3 linked regions of the Coturnix japonica genome follow. The protein of the gene in region 1 binds, or shares a complex with, the protein of each later gene. Links are inferred from orthologs where the notes say so. Each region holds a gene or a part of one and is shown on either strand. Other genes may lie near its edges.

The links.
Region 2: the proteins of UBE2I (region 1) and SUMO1 are in contact, whole or in part, in a cryo-EM structure (PDB 9B62), measured with the Homo sapiens proteins. The link is inferred for Coturnix japonica from reciprocal best matches to the Homo sapiens genes UBE2I and SUMO1. Residues at the interface, in NP_003336.1 of Homo sapiens: Asp19, Lys48, Asn85, Cys93, Leu94, Ser95, Arg104, Lys110, Gln111, Leu114, Gly115, Glu118, Leu119, Glu122, Asn124, Asp127, Pro128, Ala129; in NP_001005781.1 of Homo sapiens: Gln29, Asp30, Ser31, Gln55, Gly56, Val57, Arg63, Tyr91, Gln92, Glu93, Thr95, Gly96, Gly97.
Region 3: the proteins of UBE2I (region 1) and IPO13 are in contact, whole or in part, in a crystal structure (PDB 2XWU), measured with the Homo sapiens proteins. The link is inferred for Coturnix japonica from reciprocal best matches to the Homo sapiens genes UBE2I and IPO13. Residues at the interface, in NP_003336.1 of Homo sapiens: Arg13, Lys14, Arg17, Lys18, Asp19, His20, Pro21, Phe22, Val25, Val27, Lys59, Glu99, Asp100, Lys101, Asp102, Arg104, Lys110, Gln111, Leu114, Ile125, Gln126, Pro128, Ala131, Tyr134, Thr135, Cys138, Gln139, Ser158; in NP_055467.3 of Homo sapiens: Leu33, Tyr34, Tyr35, Asp36, Pro37, Ile39, Lys42, Gln46, Glu73, Tyr76, Gln178, Thr179, Arg181, Gln231, Glu261, Val264, Asn265, Met302, Glu303, His306, Arg310, Val313, Glu317, Asn318, Thr355, Ser358, Leu359, Leu361, Thr362, Ser413.

What each region holds. Positions count from the first base shown.
Region 1 is NC_029529.1:7,277,236-7,283,948, reverse strand, and holds the start of UBE2I (SUMO-conjugating enzyme UBC9), read right to left. Parts: upstream 3,878-6,713; 5' UTR 3,762-3,877; intron 3,569-3,761; exon of another isoform or gene 3,435-3,568; intron 3,041-3,434; exon of another isoform or gene 2,763-3,040; intron 1-2,762. UniProt on the Homo sapiens protein: Accepts the ubiquitin-like proteins SUMO1, SUMO2, SUMO3, SUMO4 and SUMO1P1/SUMO5 from the UBLE1A-UBLE1B E1 complex and catalyzes their covalent attachment to other proteins with the help of an E3 ligase such as RANBP2, CBX4 and ZNF451.
Region 2 is NC_029522.1:10,239,631-10,244,562, reverse strand, and holds part of SUMO1 (small ubiquitin-related modifier 1), read left to right. Parts: intron 1-294; coding exon 295-369; intron 370-1,419; coding exon 1,420-1,497; intron 1,498-3,080; coding exon 3,081-3,152; intron 3,153-4,104; coding exon 4,105-4,173; 3' UTR 4,174-4,932. UniProt on the Homo sapiens protein: Ubiquitin-like protein that can be covalently attached to proteins as a monomer or a lysine-linked polymer.
Region 3 is NC_029523.1:18,001,862-18,006,302, forward strand, and holds the end of IPO13 (importin-13), read left to right. Parts: intron 1-2,292; coding exon 2,293-2,359; intron 2,360-2,533; coding exon 2,534-2,592; intron 2,593-2,752; coding exon 2,753-2,842; intron 2,843-2,954; coding exon 2,955-3,136; intron 3,137-3,230; coding exon 3,231-3,327; 3' UTR 3,328-3,932; downstream 3,933-4,441. UniProt on the Homo sapiens protein: Functions in nuclear protein import as nuclear transport receptor. Serves as receptor for nuclear localization signals (NLS) in cargo substrates.

The DNA of each region.
Region 1 (6,713 bases):
GGACTTAACCCAGTTTTACATGTACCCACTGTGTATTTCATATTTGAACCACACTGTCAAAATAATTTTCCAAGTATCTTGATAGCAGTAACACTATCACTGACAGGAGGAAAGGCTCAGATTTCCTGCTTGAGACTGACAAAGGCATATCCAGTTCTCTGTGACATCATGAAAGGTACCGCTCTCCTCTGAAGGCAAACGCCTGCACTGCTCCCATTTCTGGCCAACATGAGAATAAGAAACACCACTAATAGACCAAGTCCCTGCTAAAATCCAGGGTTCTACACAAAAGCAACAAGGGCACAGGATTTAGCAAACTGGAGTGATTCTGATGTCATGCCAAAAGAAGAGACAGAAATTAACTGAGGAAGTCAGTGAGCAGCCCACTCATCCTACAAGACAGATCTTTAATACCCATATAAACTGAGCAATCTTCCAGGATCTTCACTGTCTTAAGTATCAGCCAAGTACAGCGACCAAGATGTGACAACACGAGAACAATTCTAGACACAAATTCCCTCCCAGAATCAGGGGAGGATCCTCCACTCAACCACAAGAGCAGCTGAAGTGAGACCTTATTTTTCATGCTCAAACTGTACTAAACTCACCATCTCATTAACCATATCATTCCATTAGTGGTCAGAAACCTCCAGCAAAGATCTTTAATCCTCCTCCCCACTGCACTTCTACCCGTTCAAACAAGAACTAAAACTTGGTAGCTGTGAGTTCAGAACAGTCATCCTAACTACTTCATACAGCCACCAGAGCAGTATCTCGCTCCTAAATAAGCTTACAGAATGAGTGAAAGAAATATTATCACTCTATTACAGCAAACATTTACATAATCATTAAGGATTAATACATATACATAAACTCTATACATAACTCTATACATAAACTACCCGACCATACCAGCTCTAGCTCAAAAAAGCCCTTGTTTTACAATCTCACTCTTGATTACTCGTGCCTATCTGCCGTACTCTCAGAAGATCAGAAGACATCAGGCTCTCCATTTACATATTAACCCATCAGAAGTGGCCCCACAGTACAGACACCTTAACTAAGCGTCCTTAAAAACCCTTCTTCCTTCTCTCCTCTCCCTTCTTTTTCCCTAAGTCAGATCAGCCTGCACATCCACAGTCCATCATTTCAATAGTACAATCCCTGCTAGAACGTAACTAGAGTTAAAGCTTTTTAGAAGGCACCATTAATGCTCTGTGCAGTAAACACACACAAAAGAAGCCTGCACTCATTCTCATGTTCCCAATACATACACCAGTGTCCTGGTTATGTAAGAACACTTGCAGGACTTCACACCAGAACCATAGATAACACTTCAGCTTTCAGCCAACTGTCCAGCAAGAGAAGCAGAGCATCCCAAGAGAAACCAGAACAAAACTATAAGGGGAGGAATTTTATTCCATGAGCTCACACCCCTCCTAGAGATTTTAATTAACCAACGAACATGTGACAGAATTTCAGCTGTGCTTTTAGCACCTGGAGACCAAATCCGAACACTTTACAATCATGATTAACAAGGAGATATCAAGATAGCCCTGACCAAGAGATAAGCATTTGTATTCTCAAATTAGCTGCCAGGTACGTATATTTAGTCTACTTAATATTTGCCATTCCAGTCCCCTGAATATTAAGGCCACGTAATGGAAATCCGATAAACACTGATACTTGCCAGGGATTTAACAGCAGTCACTTCTGGCACATCTAACCAGAGTGAGACTCCTAAACACCTTGAAGAAATCAGTTCTATTACACTGTTTTATGTATTAGTAATCATTAGCTGATCATTAGCTGATACTTTTAACTTACCACAACTACATGAAGTTTAGTGGCTCTTGGTTTGAACTTTTGTTTTTCATTATGTCAAGCAATAGTCAAACTTCACCTCATTATTTAGTAATGTTGAACACAACTGGGACAGAACAGCTCAGCCCCGTCTGAGCTTGAACTAATGCCTGTATTTGCTCTCCCTCTTCTGCAAGACTCCGGTTCCAATGTCTCAGGCAGGACTTAAATAACTGCAATTATCATCTTCAGGCAGAGTGCAGCAGATGGACTGACTGCACTGAGCCAGCAAACCAACCCTATCCAAACTTCATTTTCACCTTACCAGAAATCCAGATTTTTTTGGGGGGAGGGAGGTGCAGTTTTCCTACAGGTTTTTGATCTCAAAGTTGCACAGTTCTCCCATGTGACTCCAGGAGGGTGAACAACGGCCACCACGGAACAGATTTTAAACACTTGGTTTATGGATTTTTTTTTTACACTTGTTTCAGATATTGCATCCCATTGACTTTCCTTCCCTCACCTGAGAAGGTGACTGAATGAACACAATTAAGTCCCAACTTACTGTATGGGAGAGGTCCATCATTAGAAAGAACACCAAGTTCTAAGCTGGAGAAAATCCATCTCTGTCCTCCCATTCAATTTAGCACTATTCCCTCCTGCACACACCAGCACCAGGAGGTACCAACGGCCCATTTATCACTACCAACTCACTAGAAACTTCCCAGAGTGCTGGTAGCTCAGCTCTGTTGCTGGCACTACCTGCACTGGGACCAAACCCAGCCCACACTGCTGTGCCATCCATCCAGCAGCCCCAGCACAGCACAGTGCTCCCATAGCACAGTGATCACCGCGCCTGCATCCCTGCCCCATTACAAATCTGTATATACACAACGTGCTCCTTCATTCTCCATTCATTCAAAAATCAATACATGAATCAAATCGTTAAGACCGATTACATTACGAATCAGAAGCAGACGCTGTAAGGATCGTTAAACCTGCGCTGTTTGCCGGGGCAGCTTTCCTTTCCTTTCCTTTCCTTTCCTTTCCTTTCCTTTCCTTTCCTTTCCTTTCCTTTCCTTTCCTTTCCTTTCCTTTCCAGTCAGAGAAACTCAATGGTTGAGGTGGAACCAAATCGCAGCGCCTAAAACTGCCGCACAAAGTCTGCAGCGCAATAAGCGGCTCAGGCGGCACCGACCCGCACGGTAGTTCCGAGAACAACAAAAGGAACCGCGGGGCGGCCCAGCACGGAGCGGCGCAGCGCTGTCCCGGCCGCCGCCGCCGCCGTTGGTCTCGCGAGCCCCGCGGAGCGGCCGAGGCCTGTGTGTGCCGGGCGAGCTATTGGCGGGGCGGGGAGCGCTGGGCGCAGCCGGTCGGCGCACGCAGCTCAGCCGCCGAGTGCGCCCCGTAGGCGGCCGAGAGCTGAGCGGGCCGCGGCGCAGGGACAGAGCGGAGCCGTCCCGAGTTGGGCAGCCAGACGCCGTCAGGCCCGGCCGCGCCGACCGGGAACCGCCGGGAACCGCCGTGCCCGCGAACCGCCGCAACGCGAGGCACCGGACCAGGCCGCACCGGGCCGGGCCGCACCGGGCCGGGCCCCGCCGCCCCAGGCCCCGCTCCCGGCCAGGCCTCACCGTGCTCGGCCGCAGCACCCGCGTGTGTCCCGGATTGAGGCAGCGGCGAATGACCCGGATGTTCCCGGCTCCGCTCCCCCCCTTTGTCTCTGCTCCGGAGTTTCCCTCCCTCTCCCTTCCTCTCTCCCCCTCCCTCTCTCGGTGCCGTTCGCTTTATCGCCGTGTGTCCCTCGGCCCGACCCGTCCGTCCCGCTGCGCAGGCGCGGTTCGGCAGGACCTGCGGGCGGCCCGACAGCGCCTGAGCGGGGAACGACACGAGGCGGAGCGGATCCGAGCACGGCCCGGCACAACGACGAGCCGCCACGGAAACACGGGCGGAACTTTTACCTCAGGCGCTGTGGAGTCAGCCGTGCCCGACAACCGGCCCGAGAACACGGCGGGGCCGGCCACTGCGCCTCAGCTCGATAGGACCCGCCCACCGCCACCACCCGCGTCTCTGATTGGAGGATGGGGAGTCGACCCTGAGCTGTCATTGGGCAGAGCCAGGAGGGGGCGGGGCCATCCCGCCTGCAGGGGGTTCGTGTCGCTGTGGGTTTGTTTGGAACATTCACGTTTAATGTAACGAAACATGTCGGGTCTTTAAACCTCTGAGCAGCATCCGGCCATGGTCTGTCCATTGAACTGCACCGTATATAGCGCCTTAATACCAACCATGGCTTATCTTCCCCTCCATTCTGCCATCATTAGGCATTGCCATAAATAAGCACTTATATATTGATGGGACAACAATGATCTCCTGTCAGTACCCATAACACAGCACAAAGCAAGGTGTCATCAGGCCAAAGCTCTGTGTGAAAAACCAAGGGCAGGAATTATCAAATTCTACTGATAAAGACACTATGGCGGCGATGCAGGGATGGGTGCGGAGCCTTCATGGGCTGAGGGTTTAAAGGCAGCTTAAATGAGGGTTCTAATGTGCAGCCACTCCCGTGTTTAACCAGGAGGGTGAGCCCAGTGCTCCGGCAGCTCCTTCCCTGGTTTGATTTATTTATTCTCTAAACAATCCACGCTCACATTTCAATTTAATCTCGGTTTAACTCCACAGAAACGATGGAGGAACCTTCCCCAGGTTGGTCTCAGAAAATAGAAACAAACCAGATCCTCAAAACACTTGTCGTATTCTCACCCCATCTTCATTGAGCTTCTCTCATTCAAGAGGAATTGTCTTCCCTTGGAATGAATATCTCCTTTTCCTATACATGCTTTACCCCACTGCACAGCACAATGATGCAAAATAGGATGTCTCTCTTTCTGTGGGCCCTCCTGCCCAACTTTCTTCTCTCACCCTAACGCACAAATACTTATGGCATTAGTTACTGTATTCCTTTTAACTAGTAAATGCTGGAGGAGAGATGGAGAAGAGCTGTGTACAGAAAGCATCCTGACCATCACTAATGGAAGATGTAAGGAAAACTTTAAACATGCTTTGCATTTAAAACTGATTAAAACTATTAAGATGAAATTCACCTCATTCTTAATGGTGTACCCCCCTAAGATTCCAGAATTCATTAATTGGCTTATTTACATTTCTTATTACAAAGTGTCACTTTCAGATTCATTTTTCAGATATAAGTATTTCTATTAAAAATCTACATACTGGATTCAAAAAGTAATCAGTGAGGTTAGGCAGGTTGATTTGTTAGCTCCGTGAATGAAAGAAAATATACACAAAGTCATTAATTAAAACTTGACACTCTTCTTGGTTATATACCCATCCCAGAAGGGACAATTTCCTGCTATAATGATCAGTGACTGTATAAACACAAAGGAAAATACCTTAATTTCCCAGTGGATGTACTTCCAAATAAGCACGGCTTTTTCTGTAATCAAGTCTTTGAGGAAACAGAAAAGGATTTGCTGCTTTGAATGACTACAGAGAAATAAAACATTCTGTATTTAAATGAAGTGCTACACCAGGTGTATCAGCGACTGTTACGGTCAACCTTAGGGGATTTAGAAAAGAGAGATTTAAGACATCAGACTTTAAAAGGGAAAAACAGATTTATTTCATGCAGTTTACAATATGCTAGTGTTATGAAAAGGAGGTTAAAAAAATACCCACACACATTTTTAATCGTATCTTTGTTTTAAAAATGATGGCTAACTATACCAACTTCAAATGTCTTGGGAAGCCCTAGCAGATTTTTTATCCAGAGAAACCCCCTGGATTCAATTTTTTGTCCATGTCTGTGCTAAGAGTTCTGGTCAATGCAAAGGCATTAAAACCAAATCAAAACTCAAACTTTGCTGCAGTAAGAACACTTCAGAGATAACAAATTGGCACAAAATAAAGTGTTATTGCTAATCCACTATCCAGGAAATAACATGTTGCAAGTATGGCCACTTGGATATTAACACAAACAGCTGATGCACAACTAATTGTGAGACAGGTGCTTTAAAACCAACAAAACCAACCTGCTGAATTGGGTACGTGGGCCTAGACAGAATGTAGGAAATAGATTCAGGGATTTTGTCACAGCTGGGCTCAGATGAGGCTCAGGACAGAAGCAGGCTGAGATAGTTTAGTTGCCATTTGGTACTTGTTCAGTTTGGTGATCTTGGTTCAGTTCCAGGCAGATAGGTTGGCAACGTTTTTCTTTTTTAACAGTGTCTTGGCACTTGCTTTTCTCCTAGCAAGAACGCGTGGGCCAACTTCAATTTGAGTAACGTTGTGCATGAGCTTTTGTAAAATCTTCCAAAGGAGCAAGAATCACGTACACGGGTATTTCAACTCTTACATTTCACATGGATCGGGCCTGGAAGTCTCAACAGGTTGGGTCAAGCCCTACGCTCAGCATTCCAAAGCAAGGAGAACTAGCAGAACCTTCTCCTGCCCCAGCTGCCCCCAAAGGATCAAAATAATTCTCAATAAATTGTTTTAATTATCATAATTATTAATAAACAACATCCTGAAGAGAACCCTGGAAAGAACCCAGAAGGCTCTGTTTGCAGCAGTATTTATTTACTGAACTTTTCAGAAGTTTATACCTTGGTAGATCTTGCAACAGTGAAGGACAGCTAAGCTGCAATGAAACATTCAGCATCAATTTCCTGGCACAGAGTCTTCCTCAAAGTCTCTCTGTTGGCAGTTCTGTTCACAACAGCTGTTAGATTTCAACATGGGCAATAATAAAGTGGTGGGCAAATGTGCTGTCATCTCTACTGTACTCCTTACCAAGAGGGATACTGAAATTCCAAACAAGATACGAATGCAATTATATCTGCAATTGGTTACATCTGCAATTTCTAAAAACGATTTTAGAGTCTGAGTTAGAAAAA
Region 2 (4,932 bases), on another chromosome or scaffold:
ACCTTTTTAAACACATCCATGGATGGTGACTCAATCACCACCCCAGGGAGCCTGCTCCAGTGCTTCCCAATGGTCCTTCTTATGTTCTTCGTGCTGTTCCTTCCATCATTAACTTCTCACATGCAGACAGGTAGCGTACTGTAGTAGTATGCTACTATTTTCATGTATGGAGGAAGAAATAAGATACCTTGAAGTGTGAATTTATTATGATGAGTATAACTGGCATTGTATTGTCTAGTGAAAATAAGTGTTGGACTTCAATATAATTTTTTTTTTTAAATGTTTTTCCTGCAGGAAGCAAAGCCTTCAGCTGAGGACTTAGGAGATAAGAAAGAGGGGGAATACATTAAACTCAAAGTCATTGGGCAGGTGAGTTTTTACGTAATGGCTATTTGGGAGACACTGTGAATTTTTTAAATATTGTAATGAATGGGAGAGAAGCTGATGTGTTAAGTTCTTCAATGCGAGTCTTTGACCAATTGCCAGCAATGTGTGTTAGCATGCTCTTACATTTGGGTCTTTGGAGTTCATGTATGGCAAACATGGGATCAACCCTACTGGTTAAGAGTAGGAAGAGGATTCTGTTGATTGACTTGTTGGTAATGGGTGATGGATTGTAAGTCTGAATTTGTATTGTTTAAATAGATATCTAAACTCTTCCAGAACAGAAGAATTCCACATTAGTTCATTTGATTTAACTTGTTGTTGGTTGGAGTATTAGTACAGTTACTGTTTACCAGAGACATGATTTTAACTGGTGCTGGTGTAAACTCAAGTCTTGCTGGTTTAATCAGCTATAATGAGAACACACTCGAAAGCTGTGTGTTTGCACAGAACATTTCGTGGTCTGCTTTATCTGTAGCCATTTTGACAAATGCAATGATTTGTACCTTATTGCTTGTAGGAAGAACTGCAGAATATTGAGAGCTGAGATTTTGCTTTAGGTTGATGTTATGTTGCCAAGTTAGCCTGTATCCTAAGCTCCAGATAGTTGCTCTATTTGAACAAGGTTTTGCATATATTTTGAAATACAAGCTTTAACTTGTCTCGTGGAATCTTAGAGCAGAAGTCCCCTGCATATGTATGTTTGTATTTTGTAAGTATGTCAGCTGGTAAAAGATGGAGTACAGACTGAGCTGAGTATGGTATTTAATACTTCTAAATCCAAAAATGTCCGTGGCGAGCTGAAGGCTGTATTGTGCCATCTGTTTCAAAGCAGGGCTTCCTGCGAAAGTGATGAATGTAAGTGCATAACATGAACCTCTAAGATGGTTTAGCAGTCACTAAATTATGCCCAGTGATAATTAAATAGTGTTCTGTGCTACTTTTTTTGTAAGACTTTTTTAATGAATCTTTTAAAATGAGCATAGAGAAAGTAAGCAGTTGCCGAATTAATATTTTTTTCTTTTCTATTCATAGGACAGCAGTGAAATTCACTTCAAGGTGAAAATGACAACACACCTCAAGAAACTCAAAGAATCATACTGTCAAAGACAGGTTTGTGAAACCATGACACTGAATGTACAGTGGCTGTTCAGAAGGTGTAGAAGTAATCTTTTAAAATGTCCAGGTTTACATTTGAAATTACTGTAAAATCTTCTGGATCCTTTTGAAATTTCCTTGAAATAGAATACTGCAGCTTGGGATGAGGGCAGCCTTATATGTTGTTACTGTCATAAGTATGATAATACATTTGCATGAGCTATTATACCCTAACCTAAAGAAATATGCAGTATCAGTGCTTGATACAGGTAAATAGTGACCGCTCTTCCAGGACAGGAAATATGTGTTCACTTACAGGTTCTATGGCAGATACTGTGGATTCAGTGATGCTATTCTTAGCGGCCCTGGTCTACTTCACTCCTAGCTTTGGGGACAGATGCCTTATGTGGCCTTTTCTTGAGCAATTGCACTGAAGTTCAATTCAGTAAATAAAACTATTAAAAAAAAAAACCAAAAAAACCCCAACTTTTTATTTTAGTGCTAAGTTTGATTTGCATCAAAGTATGGTAAGTTCTGTAGAAATACCTCTTTCATACTATGACACATTAGATTTTCTGTGCCTTTGTACAGTAATGTTGCTATATGGCCTGCTATCCTACTAGAGAAGGAGATAAAAGGTTAAATGACAGATATCCTTGCAACCCAAACTAAAAAGTGACTAAAATTGGGATTCATCAGAAAACTAAAAGGCAGATGCTGGCATTCATTCATGCAGTTAGTCGTATTCACTGTTAGAAATGTGTATGTGCAGATTTTTTTTCCAAGAAATATATGTTTTGGTAGGCAGAACTACATCTTTCTCCTGGCTGATTTCTAGAGAGTCCCAGTTCCTTCATTTGTTATCAACACTGCTTTTGGTGTCAAGTAAGCAACATTTCTGAGATGTAAATGATGCACTAAACGGGTCATATTTCACTTGCACTTTGCTGATAATGGATATGAAAGAAGAGGAAAAGGTTAGGTGTTTGTCTTAGCTGCAAAGGTGAAGTGTGGTATTAAGCTTTAACGTAGGAATGCTGTACACTAGATGTACTGTGATCTTATTTTATTAGCTCTTGGGTGCTCTTTTCTCTGCTCCCTCTCCTTCACAGCGTAGGGCTTTTGCAGAGCTTGTATCTGTAGAGGATACCATTCTTTATTGCAGTGTTATAAGATTGTGGAAGCAAGTGTAGGAGTTTGTGAAGTACACATATTCTGTATGTTATGGTAGTCTTTAAAAAGGCTGATAAATGGTTTAGAAGAAGGCTGCACCCTCCTGTAATGCCTTGGGAGTGCATAGTTGGTACTTTAGAGGAGTTGGGGAGGGGAGATGCTAAGAAAATTTCCCAGTTCTTGATCCCGAAGAACTTTACTGTAACTTTGGAAGAATGATGCAGTTCAGCACTATTGCTCTCCTTGAGACACTTGGTAGTTTACATGGGAGCAGCAGGATAGCTGAGCTCTCTGTGTAACAAGAACCTACGCTTTCCTTTTTAACTTATATGTGCACTGTTTTTATTAAAAATGTGTTTCTTGTAAATGTTTGCATCTTGGTTGAGGTTTTTTTGTGCTTTTTTTTTTTTTTTTTTTTTTTTAAGGGTGTTCCAATGAACTCACTCAGGTTTCTCTTCGAGGGTCAGAGGATTACTGATAATCATACCCCCAAGGAGGTAAGTTTCTTTTCAGAGAGTGTTGCATACAGCATTCAGTAGAGAAAATAATTACAAAATGTGTTAGTTTATCTGTTCTGCTATATTAACCTGATTTGATTCTTTAAATGTAGCCCATCTGTCAATACATCTCTGACTAATTGTAGTCTGATTATACTTGTATGACTGAAGTATTCAATAAGGTTGCTACATAGGTCAGAAAAAAGACTAATTGGACCTTCGCATATAGTGGAAAAAAGTCTGAGGGAACTGATCAGTTGTTGTTCTAGATCTTCAGCTTGAATTTGAAGTAAACATGTATTTTGTTCACATTTATTAGATGAAAGTGTAAATAAACAGCAAACAGATTACTTTTGCTATCTGGTGACTTCCACCAATTGTTACGAAGAAAGGAACAGGAAGAAATACTGAAATACTGAGTTATAATGATGACCTTCTGAAAAAAAATCAAACTTCTTGAATTCCACAATGAACAAGTTACTTTGTTTGAGACAACAGCTGTGAACAGGCTTTGAGTTGCAAGCTGTAGGTCTTAGCTGTATCATGCTTAGCAGCATGCAGTATATCATCCATGCGGCTATACAGCGGGTGCATTCACAGTGTTGGTAGTTACATTCCTGTGCATCCATTGCCCAAGAAGTTTAGAGGAAAGTAAAGCTAGTATTTTTCAAGCTGATGTGTGCTGCTTCACAAGTGAATTTGGACTTCACAGATAAGATTATTGCTTTGACTGAGAAGATGTGCTGAAATGTATATGATGGAAGAAAAAATACTTAAGAGCATGAGTGTTGGCTAGTGAGGTATTAAGTGAAAAATTTTTCACCTCTTTGTCCTTTGAAAAATGATGAGGCAGAAGAACAAAGCATCAGATAGCTTTTCTAGGACCTGCTCTGAATTCGGTGCACCAGATTTGTAACAATTGTGCTGTTTTTTTTTTTCTCTGTTCTAACAGCTGGGGATGGAGGAGGAAGATGTGATTGAAGTTTATCAGGAACAGACGGGGGGTCACTCAACAGTTTAGATCCTTCTGTTTGTTTTATTTCCCCTTAATCCTTTTTTATTTTTAAATAATAGTTCTTTTGTAATGTGGTGTTCAACACTGAATTGAAACTGGCACCCCATCTCTGGGAGTTTATTTTCGAGCGTCTGGTATTTTAAATTCTCGTGCTCATTATACACTATTGTTTCTGTTTTCATTGTGCTGAACTTCTGTGATCCAGCTGCAGCCCTGCTCTCCTTTTCCCTTCCGCCCTCCCCTTTAGAAATACATATACACACATGCATTTGTATGTTCACTAAGTTCGTGCATTTCAGGCACGAAGGTTGTAAGATCTGCCAGGTGGGCGAGTGTTCTTAATGACTTCCATATCTGCCCTGAAGTTTTGATGTGTGACTGTTTCACTCCTGGACTATAACTTTCAGTGCGAGATGAAGTTTTTCAGAACTAAACTGTGGAGAAATCATGTATCCGTAACTCAGAGCTATTTTACTTAAATTGTGCTGATGGCCCGACGAAGAAGACCAGAGTTGGAAACGAAAAAATCTAGAACCGTTGTCATCTGTACCTTGCTCCAGAGATGGCTTTGCTGAAGACATAGAATTGAAAACCCTAATGATTCTTAAATCTTGCCAGAAGAGCCCAGAAGCATTTTAACTTCATATAGCAATTAGTACACGCAGGTATTCATGCAAGAATGTTCACAGCAGGCAACTGGTGTTACTTTGACACTCTTGTTTGTACCTTTTGGCCTGGGACATGGGTTTTGAATGGACATTGTCT
Region 3 (4,441 bases), on another chromosome or scaffold:
CAGAAGATGTGGGACCTTCTGTGCCTGCCCATGCACTGTCCTTCAACTCCTCCCTGCCTGAGCACAGTTATCACCTGCTGAGGCAGTGCCCCTTCCTAAAATGGAGGCTCTACTCTATGAGGTGTGTGCTTAGGGAAGATAGGTTGGTCCTGAACATGAGGAGAGTGCTCTGGAGCACTGCAGGAACCAGCTGTGAGGCACATGCTATCCCTTGGCTGTGGGAGGAGCGGAGCTTGGTGGCCTCCCATGTCCCCAGGTACAGAAGAGCTGCTCTTCAGACCCGTTTGGAGGGTGTCCCAGCAGCCACAGAGGAAAACCATGTTGCTGAGCCTGCAAGACAGCCCTCATTGGAGAGGCAGCACCTACCTCTACAGCACCCACTGCAGAGGACAGGGGGGATGTTCCCGCTGTGTAGCAGTTGCAGACCTGTCCTTATCCCACAGCCACTCTGACAAGAGACATGGAGGACAGACAGGCAGTGAGAGGTCCCATGAAGAAGTGAGATTCAGCAGTTGTGCCTACCCAATGTGGCTTCCTCATGGAGCAACTCCACAGGTTTCCATCTCTGTCTGCATTAGATGTGTACACATACCTGGATTGAGCTCACATGCTGTGCTCCCTTAGTGAAGATGACCTGCGGGAAGGATCCTCTTGTATCAAAGCACATTCACTCCCAGCACTCACCAAGCCAGGAGCAGGTGCTGCAGGGGGCCCACAGGAGTGCCTGGACACCTTTGGCTACTGCAGGCCAGGTTGTCTAGGAGAAGCACCGTGCAGGTAGGTGGCTTTGGTAACCTGAGCATGTTGGAAGACTTGTGCCAGATGAACAGCTTTGCAGGATGGAGGAGTTGATGACTGTGTGATGGCACCAGAGCCAGGCACCTTTGGCATTGTGCTGCTGGGGGCAGCGAGTGGCTTTAATTAACTGAAGTGATGTGTCTTGTGTGTGTTTGTCCAGTATGGGGCTGAGCAGACTGCAGCAGAGCAGTGAGCAGGTGCACAGTGGGTTGTCCTTGCAGTGAGTGTGCGGGAGGCTGTATATACACACACACGCATAGTGCAGCCCCTCGTCTCTCCAGTGAAGGCCACTGCTTGCATCTAGCAGGGAAGCAGTTCCCAGTGGATGTGCCACCTCTGCTGGGTACAGCAATGCCTTTTGCACCCAATTTACGTCATCTCTTGCAGCGTGTGATGCAGAGGGTCAGGAAGGAGAAGGGATAACCATGAAACCTGACAAGCTTCCAGCTGCCCAATGTATGTTCCCTGCGAGGGGTCAGTGGTCAAGGGTTTTCCCTTGAGGAGAAGGGGGATGTAAGTCAGTTTGGCTCCATGGGGGCTGGGTGGCTGTGGGTAGATGGCCATGAATCCTGAGCACTGTTGGCTGAAGGCTGTCCATGCTTTCACCCTGTGAAGCGAGCTTGGAAGGCAACGTGCAGCTCAGCCCATGGAACAGAGACTCTTGCTCCTGGCTCCTGCTGTGGTGTTTGGCTCTCAGACCTCTTAGGAAGAGCTGTGGCTGCTGTTCCTCCTGTTGCAGTGACAGTAGGGCAGGGTGAATGATTGCCAGCCAACAGTTGGCAGAAACCCTCCCATGAAGCAGCAGGCACAGGCTGAAGTGTTTTTATCCTGTACTGCCCTGTTCTGGCACAGCAGGGACCAAGCCCAGCAATGGTCCCATTGTGCCAAAGCTCAGGATGTCCCTAGCAGTGGTGGAATAGCAAAACCAGAGCAGCCGGTGGGCTCACCAAGTGGCAGAATAAACCCAGAGTTTTTGCTCGTGAATTGCCAAGCAATTTCAGCATCTCATTGCCTCTATTGCTCTGCAGCAGGAGCAGAGCGAGTTGTTGGCCTAGACTTGGAGTCAAACAGAATGTGTGTCAATGGAATTGATGGCTGTGACCCCAGGAACACTGGCAGTGAGAGGACCAAGCCAGTGGGGGCTGTTATATGCTAGGGCACCTGTGTCCCAGGAGCGCTGCCTCTGCCTGTTCTGGGACAGGATGCCTCTTTCTGTGTCTGAAGCATCTGTGCATATACCACCTTGGTATCTATCTTCGTGTCTTGGGGTCAGAGCTCCCCAAGCATTGCAAATGGCCTGGATGTATGATTGACATTTTCTTGGGGGGGAAGAGCAACCGTTTCCTTCTCTACTCTGTGAATCTGCTGTTACTATGCGTGTGCCCAGGTAAGTGTGCATCCAGGCAGAGGCTGTCTGGAGCGCCAGGTTCCTAGGAGTCTTCCCAGCTGCTGTTGCAGGGCTGTGTTTATTCTGTCTGTCTGTGTGCCTTGCAGGCTCTGAAAAGGAAGCCAGACCTCTTCCTGTGTAGCAACCTGGATGTCAAGGCAGTGTTTCAGTGTGGTGAGTACTGTGGGAACATGGTACACGCTGGCACCTGCTCCCCAACCTTGTGTGGAGTCCAGCCTGCTGCTCCTGCAGCTCTGAATGGAGCAGCCAGGGACTGGGGACTGTGGTGCTGGTTTGGGATGGTGTCTGAAAGCTCTGGCCGCTCACCTGAGTGCTTTGTGTCTGCAGGTGTCCTCTCCCTCAAGTTCCCTGAAGCCCCAACAGTGAAAGCATCCTGTGGCTTCTTTGTGAGTATCACGGCTTCCGCAGATGCGTTGGAACTGCATATCATAGGGATGCACAGAGGGGCTGCAGCCCACCAAGCAGAGCAGGAACGGGGCTGTGAGTTGCACAGGGGAGCAGCTGTGCGGTGCCTTGGCACTGACTGGGTTGGATGCTGTGTTGCAGACAGAGCTGCTGCCACGCTGCGGGGAGATCGCCCCAGTGGGACAGGTGGTGCATGAGAATGGCAAAGTGCTGCTGCAGGCGGTACTGGAGGTGAGTGGTGCTGGCATGGGTGGGTACATTGGAGTGATGCTGGGGCATCAAACACTAAGCTCAGCTCAGCCTCTTGCAGTGTAGTTCATCAGGATCTGTCTGCTCTGTACAGGGTGTCGGTGGCCAGGCTTCCCGCAGCCTCATGGATCACTTTGCAGAAATCCTCTTTGCCTTGAACAAGCATTGCTTCAGCTACCTAAGCATCTGGATCAAGGAGGCCATGCAGCAGGATGGTTTCCCTTCAGCCCGTGTCAGCCCCGAGCAGAAAGAGACCTTCAGCCAGCAGATCCTTAGGTTGGTGTCCCCAGTGCTGTGCTGCAGCAGCTGTATCCTACGCTGCTGTCCTTCCTGCTTGACTCACATCTGTCCCCTCCCTCTGTGTTAGCAGAGAGCGTGTGAACAAGCGGCGAGTGAAGGAGATGGTGAAGGAATTCACGCTGCTGTGCCGAGGGCTGCATGGCACAGAGTACACAGCAGACTACTGAGCACCCAACCAGGAATGCGGATGGTTTGCCTGGACCAGCTCTTCCCCACCAGGAAGCCCCCCGTCTTCCCTGCCCTGCTGCTGCAGTACAGCTCGTAGAATAACCCTCCACCTAGAATTAACCTACTCGGGACGCTCCTCAGCTAGACTTGGTGGCCGCATCTTGGTGTCAGCATCTTTGTTCCCCCAGCATGCTCCCCCCTCACAGGGGATGGGAATGCCGGCTGCAGGAGGTGGGGAGGGGGGGCCCAGAACAGGACCGCCCCAGCACAGACTGCCCTTTGCTGCACCGCAGCCAGGCTGCCCACTCTTCCCCAGCACGGCCCTGCAGAGGGGAGGCTGCACGGCAGGGACTGGCTGGGCAGGTGGGCTCGCCCCCTGCTCATTTGTATGTGTTGAGGTTGGGAGGGGGGAGGCCCCACACCTAATTATATTAAGGATATTTCTATGCTGTGGCTGTCATCGCTGTTGTTACCTGCACTTGGGAAAGAGCCAAGGTGAGGGTGTGGGGTGGTTACATAAAGGTTGATGTGCCTCACAGGCTCCTGTTCCCCTCTGGCTGGGGCAGGAATGGGAAAAAACTAGGGATCTCTAGTGTGTGTTGTACTCTGCTGTCCATCATGGATTATGCTCCTGCAGGGGGGACTGCATCCCCTCCACAGGTTGAGGGTCTTCTGGCAGCACAGAGGATGTGTGTGCACATCCTCATAATAGCAAGGGAGGGCTTGTTCACGTGCAGAGCCTCTGCCCATCTTAGTTTCCTGTTCTCCTAGGCTGGCTTTGGCCAACATGTAAGACTACAATCCCAAGGTGAGCCCTGTGATATGTTTTTGCTCTGGAACACCAGCTATTGCCTCTGTAGATACTCTTCAGCCCGCGCTTTATTCTAGAAGACAGTTCACTTCCAACTCCTCAGTTCAGCTTTAGTTAAAACCAGTAACTTATACAAGCCCCCAGTACCAGTGTTGTCAGCTCACAAGAAGCTCTGACCTTTCTTTATAGGGACAGAGTTCATCCTGCCCAGGGAAGGTGCAGAGCCTTTGTCAGCTAGAGTTGGACCAGGCTCCTTGTCCTGACCCTGCTGCTTGTCCTGGCTGTGAGCACAGGGGTGCAGT